Rattus norvegicus: one gene and its partner. The protein of the gene in region 1 purifies or fractionates together with the protein of each later gene. This does not show direct contact. Links are inferred from orthologs where the notes say so. Each region holds a gene or a part of one and is shown in the gene's direction. Other genes may lie near its edges.

Evidence for each region. Proteins that work in one complex are often made in the same cells at the same time.
Region 2: the proteins of Maf (region 1) and Usp5 purify together in Homo sapiens (affinity purification with western blotting; 3 studies listed by BioGRID, with this or other methods). This does not show direct contact. The link is inferred for Rattus norvegicus from reciprocal best matches to the Homo sapiens genes MAF and USP5.

Annotation. Positions count from the first base shown.
Region 1 is NC_086037.1:60,618,871-60,622,539, reverse strand, and holds Maf (transcription factor Maf), read left to right. Parts: upstream 1-1,183; 5' UTR 1,184-1,360; coding exon 1,361-2,470; 3' UTR 2,471-3,128; downstream 3,129-3,669.
Region 2 is NC_086022.1:159,308,152-159,311,062, reverse strand, and holds part of Usp5 (ubiquitin carboxyl-terminal hydrolase 5), read left to right. Parts: intron 1-433; coding exon 434-522; intron 523-1,390; coding exon 1,391-1,513; coding exon of another isoform or gene 1,514-1,582; intron 1,583-2,044; coding exon 2,045-2,188; intron 2,189-2,266; coding exon 2,267-2,412; intron 2,413-2,589; coding exon 2,590-2,743; intron 2,744-2,911. UniProt on the Homo sapiens protein: Deubiquitinating enzyme that participates in a wide range of cellular processes by specifically cleaving isopeptide bonds between ubiquitin and substrate proteins or ubiquitin itself.

The DNA of each region.
Region 1 (3,669 bases):
CGGATCGCTCGCTGCAGCGTGAGAGCAGAGGTTCAGTCGGGCAGGCCTCTCTCAAACTCTGAAGAAAGCAAACCTTCCTCCCGGGTCCTACCATCGGATTCCAGCCGCCCTTTTAGTAAACTCTGTCCCTTGGTGCATTAAACTTCGCACGGGGCGGTGGTGGGGGATGTTGCTCCCTGGCTGCGCCCCAGCAGCGGCGCCGCAAGGGTTAAGCCAGCCTGTCCCAGCTGACAGTCAGCTGATTGGGCTGTGATTGACAGCTCCGAAAAGTTTCCTTGTTTCTATACTATTATGCTAATCGCTGCCGCTTTCGCCGCCTCCCATTGGCGGAGAGTGCCAGTCAATTTCCCATTTGAACCTGACGTCACGGGTGCTATAAAACTCAGCAATTGCTTTAAACTCTTCTCGCTGGATCAGAGGCTTTAAAATCTTTTTTCATCTCGGAGCTGTAGCTCGAGCTGCTTGTCCGCTCGGCCTCTCCCCCCACCCTTTTGCTCTCGGCCTTGCCTTGGTCCAGGACTTTGCCATTTTGCTTTAAAGCAAAAAAAGAAAGAAAGAAAGAAAAGAAAAGAAAAACCAAAACCAAAAGAAAAAAAAAAGGGCAAGAAAGAACTAAACTCCCCCCTCCCTTGCCTCCAGCCGGCCTGCACCTCGGTCTTGCACTTTGCACGGAGGGAGAGGGTGAGGAGAGAAAGAGAGAGCGCGCGCGCACGCGAGGGATCCGGAGAGAGAAAAGAAAATAATAATAGTAACCATAAGAGCCAGGCAGAAGAGGAGAGAAGCGTGAAGTGTTAACCACCCCGGTGTGGAGGCCCGCGCCTCCGGGACAGCCACCCGCCGCGCCACACAACCCCGGAGCAGCCGCCGCGCGCGCCCCGCCTGCAGCCCCGACCGGCTTAGGCGAGCCCTCCTTATGCAAAGCGCGCAGCGGAGCGGCGAGCCGGGGACGCCGCGCACCGGGCCGGGCTCCTCCGGCATCCTCTCTGCCGCTGTCATCACCACCGCCACCGCCAGCCGCGGAGGACCTTCCCGAGCCTGAAGCGCCCGGGATCGGAGCTCAGAGAGGCGAGCAGGCGAGGAGGGGGCCCGGGGCGAGCGGGAGAGAGAGAGAGAGAGCAAGAGAGAAAGAGAGAGAGCACATTGGCGTGAGCAGGGGGGAGGGAGGGCGGGCGCGGGGGGCTGCGGGCAGGGCGGGGGGTGTGTGCACGCTCGAGCTTTCGGGCCACAGCCACCGCCGCGCGAGCTAGAAGCGCCCTAGCCCGGCAAGCTGGCTCACCCGCTGGCCACCCAGCACAGCCCGCTGGCCCCTCTCCTGCAGCCCATCTGGCGGAGCGGCGGCGGCGGTGGCGGAGGCAGGAGGATGGCTTCAGAACTGGCAATGAACAATTCCGACCTGCCCACCAGTCCCCTGGCCATGGAATATGTTAATGACTTCGATCTGATGAAGTTTGAAGTGAAAAAGGAACCGGTGGAGACCGACCGCATCATCAGCCAGTGCGGCCGTCTCATCGCCGGGGGCTCGCTGTCCTCCACCCCCATGAGCACGCCCTGCAGCTCGGTGCCCCCGTCCCCCAGCTTCTCGGCGCCCAGCCCGGGCTCGGGCAGCGAACAGAAGGCGCACCTGGAAGACTACTACTGGATGACCGGCTACCCGCAGCAGCTCAACCCGGAGGCGCTGGGCTTCAGCCCGGAGGACGCAGTCGAGGCGCTCATCAGCAATAGCCACCAGCTCCAGGGTGGCTTCGATGGCTATGCGCGGGGAGCGCAGCAGCTGGCCGCGGCAGCGGGGGCCGGCGCCGGCGCCTCCCTGGGCGGCAGCGGCGAGGAGATGGGCCCCGCCGCCGCCGTGGTGTCCGCCGTGATCGCCGCGGCCGCCGCGCAGAGCGGCGGGGCACCTCACTACCATCACCACCACCACCACGCCACGGGGCACCACCACCACCCGACGGCCGGCGCCCCGGGAGCCGCGGGTAGCGCGTCCGCCTCTGCGAGCGGCGCGGGTGGCGCGGGCGGCGGTGGCCCGGCCAGCGCCGGGGGCGGCGGCGGCGGCGGCGGCGGGGGCACGGCGGGGGCGGGGGGCGCCCTGCACCCGCACCATGCCGCGGGAGGCCTGCACTTCGACGACCGCTTCTCGGACGAGCAGTTGGTGACCATGTCGGTGCGTGAGCTGAACCGGCAGCTGCGCGGGGTCAGCAAGGAGGAGGTGATCCGACTGAAGCAGAAGAGGCGGACCCTGAAAAACCGCGGCTATGCCCAGTCCTGCCGCTTCAAGAGGGTGCAGCAGAGACACGTCCTGGAGTCGGAGAAGAACCAGCTGCTGCAGCAGGTCGACCACCTCAAGCAGGAGATCTCCAGGCTGGTGCGCGAAAGGGACGCCTACAAGGAGAAATACGAGAAGTTGGTGAGCAGCGGGTTCCGAGAAAACGGCTCGAGCAGCGACAACCCTTCCTCTCCCGAATTTTTCATGTGAGTGTGACACGCGATCCCAGCTAGCCACCTTGTTAAATGCTCCGTGGGGGTCCGGCTCCTGAGTGGGCTTGCCAGTTTGCAGGGCCACGCTCGCCACCACCTCGCCCCCTCCCCTGGCGAGTTTGCTCCCCTTGGCCCTGCACGCACACACACACACACACACACACACACACACACACACACACACACACACACACACACATACACACACACACACACACAGCAAGCTTGTGGTGGTGGTGGTGGCTCTTTTGAGTTGGGGAGGGAAAGGGTATCTGGCTCATGGATTGCCAACCTGAATTCCCCTGTAACTTGCTAGCTTGGTTGTTTTGGTCTTTTTTATTATTATTATTACTCTTTTTACACCGCCTACCCCACACATACCCTGGACTTGCACAAGGGTCAAAGATCTGAGCAGGATACTTCATGTAGGACATAACTCACCTTTGAACCCGGCCATCAAGCGCCTGTATATTTTTTTTCTTCTTCTTCTTTAGTTCATGAGCTGGTGTTCATTCTCTGTGTGTGTGTTTTTTTATTTTGTTTGGATTTTCTTTTTTCTTCTTTGTTTTTGTTTATTATTACTAATTTTTTTGGAGCTTGCTGTGTTTCCCAGCCTCTGCCCTCCCTCCCTCTGCACCATGTTCTTGAGATAAAAGAAAAAAGAAAAAAAAAAAAGAGCAGGGTTTTTTCTTCTCCTCCTGAGTTCTTCTGATTGAGCTTGCAAAGGAAAAAAATGTGAAATGCTATAGACCTTGCAGCGAGCTGAGTTCCACCGGGTTTTTTTTTTTTTTTTTAGGCATTGTTATGCTAAAACTGAATGAATTAAAGCCTCTCCTGAACCTGCCACAATCAAGGCTGCATCAACCTTCTGGGTGTGACTTGGGAGCTTTGGCCTTATGATGCCAAATCTGAAAGTTTAGCCTGCCATTAAAAACAAACAAAAACACAAAAACAAACTTCCTCTCATCTCATGCATTACGATGCTTGCTACTTTGTCTTAGCGACAACGAACTATTAACAGTTTCAAAGACATTATGGGAAAGAGACATTATATTAATAAAAAAAAAAGCCTGCATGCTGGACATGTATGGTATAATTATTTTTTTCCTTTTCTGTCCCCTTTTGGCTTGGAAATGGACTTTTGAAGACTTAGCGCATGACATCCATACTTTTGATTTACAGCCTCATGACTTTTTT
Region 2 (2,911 bases), on another chromosome or scaffold:
CTCAAGATTATCAAGCCCTGGGCTGGGTTTGTCCCCGAGGGTACCAGGAGGCTGTGGTGGGGCAGATGGGAGATGATTCCATCTCTTACCTTATCCTCTCCCAACACTCTTATAGTACAAGCTTTTTTTTCCAGTATGGCCAGCCTCTACGTCATGCTCTAGCCCAGGCACTTAGTGTCACCTGAAGGCAAATCTGGCTTCTAGAAAACAGCAGGCCTCTGGCATGGTTTTGAGACCTAAAGAGGTGCTTCAGTTTTAGGGAGCAAGTCCTCAGCACAATGCTGCTCCGGCCAATCAAATCTTTGCTTCTGCAGCTCCTTGTTGTACCCCCTGATCTCTACCCAGGCAAGAGGAGAAGGGAGTATCTAAGAGACACCAAGACCAGTGTAGAGAAAGGAGAGCTCTGGGGTGCCAGCACATTTTCTCTCTCCAGGACTACACGGTTTGCCTCCTTCCCTGACTACCTGGTCATCCAGATCAAGAAGTTCACCTTTGGCTTAGACTGGGTGCCCAAGAAGCTGGGTATGCTGTTCGGGATGAGGGTGGTGATATAGAAAGTCCTAGAAAGGGGCTGGAGAGATGGCTTAGCAGTTAAGAGCACTGACGGCTCTTACAGAGGTCCTGAGTTCAATTCCCAGCACCCACATGGTGGCTCACAACCATTGGTAATGGGGATCCAATGCCCCTGGACAGGGTACTCATATAAATCTTTAAAAAAAAAAAAAAAAAGAAGTCTTAGTAAAAGATAGTTTTAACATGTATCAACTAGTGTTCCTCAGATTTTTCTCTGAAAAGGGAAGCATTTTGTATATGTTTCAAAATGTATCTAGTTTGAAAAGATACTGATTAAAACTTCTTTGAGTTTTTCCTTGTTTTTGAGACAGAGTCTCACTGTGTAGCCCTGGCTGGCCTGGAAGTTGCAGTGTAAATCGGGTTGGCCTCATACAGAGATTTGCTTGCCTCTGCCTCTCAAGTGCTGGGATTGAAGGCATGTGCCACGATACCTGGCTAAAACTATCTTGATAGTCATGACTGATTGTATTGTTACAGTTTTTCTAGTTGATGACAGTGCTTTTAATTGGGTTAATCTTGAAGCAGGTCTTACAGGCCCCTGGCTCTAACCTGGCACTCTTGATTTGTCTTGGTTTTGTCAAGGAGGAAACTGAGCCCTTCAGAAGTATAAGGCACTCTGACCGTAGAGGCCCCTTGCCTGTCTATCACTCGTGGTAGATAATAGGTCCTCTGACTCCTGCCCTTTCGCAGGTTTCCCATGGTTGGAACTATTCAGAGCAGATCTAAAGCATGCCACAGGAGCTTGACAGTCTACTGTGCTTTTGCAGGTTAGCATCAGGAAGCTGCCGAAGTGACCTTTTCACCGTTCCAATTGCAGATGTGTCCATTGAGATGCCAGAGGAGCTAGATATTTCCCAGCTGAGGGGCACAGGGCTACAGCCCGGAGAGGAGGAGCTGCCTGACATTGCCCCACCCCTGGTCACTCCGGATGAGCCCAAAGGTAGCCTTGGTTTCTATGGCAACGAAGACGAAGACTCCTTCTGCTCCCCTCACTTCTCCTCTCCAACATGTTAGTGATTCTTCTTCCTGCCTGTCTCTCTCCCTTGCTGATGGGGGAGGGCTTCTCTGTATTCCTTCCTTCCCTTCCTTTGTTTCTCCTGTCCTCCCTTCCAAACTCCCTGTGTACCCTTGTTGGATGTGAAGACGGGCTGAAACACTCCCATCTGCATTCTTAATGTGGATGTCGGTAGCATGGGCTAATGGCCTCTGTATCTTTGTTACTTCCTTGGTTTGGGTGGGGCGGGGGAAGGGGAATGAGCTCCACAAATGGCAGAAAACTGATCAACTTTGGGATACCAGGCTCATAGTTTGCTTGTGGCTATTTTAGTTGTGGTATGAAATGCTTGTCTAGGAAAGAGAAAAGCACATGCGGGGTGATTGGGAGAAGGCTAGAGGCTTGGCATGGGGTTGGAGGAGGTGAAGAAACCAATGGAAACAGTAGCAGGAAGTCATCGCTCCAATTCTACCACAGCGCCCATGCTGGACGAGTCCGTCGTCATACAGTTGGTGGAGATGGGCTTCCCTATGGACGCCTGCCGGAAAGCCGTGTACTATACAGGGAACAGTGGTGCTGAAGCAGCCATGAACTGGGTCATGTCACACATGGATGACCCAGGTAGGCACAGGCAGGGGGGAGCAGGGTGGGGCGGGACCTCTACACATCCCCAAACACTCATCCCTTCCTCATCCCCAGATTTTGCCAATCCCCTCATCCTGCCTGGGTCCAGTGGGCCTGGCTCCACAAGTGCAGCAGCCGATCCCCCACCAGAGGACTGTGTGGCCACCATTGTCTCCATGGGCTTCTCACGGGACCAGGCCCTGAAAGCTCTACGGGCCACGGTATGTGCTGCCCCATGGGACCTGGAGCCACAAGTGGGACAGGGTGGGAGTAAGGTTACATGAACGCCTTTTGGTTAACGTACCAAACCCAGTACAGTGTGGTTGAAGCTGGCAGCTCTTGATGTTTGCGTGCCTGACTGACTCCTGAGGAAAAGTAACACTTCCCTCCTCTCCAAGAACAATAGCTTAGAGCGGGCTGTAGACTGGATCTTCAGTCACATTGATGACCTAGATGCAGAAGCTGCTATGGACATCTCAGAGGGACGCTCAGCTGCTGACTCCATCTCTGAGTCTGTACCAGTGGGACCTAAAGTCCGGGATGGTCCTGGAAGTGAGTGTCACCAAGACTCATGGTAGAGCTGGGGCTGTCTCCTGTCAGCCCCTTGTTCTAGTGCTGTGTGTTTCTCAGTCTGAGGGCTCAGGAACTCTGTCTCTCTGATGGGTCTTAGGAGGGTGGAATTCAAGGAGCCGAGGTACCCTTTGCTCACGTTCCCCGAAA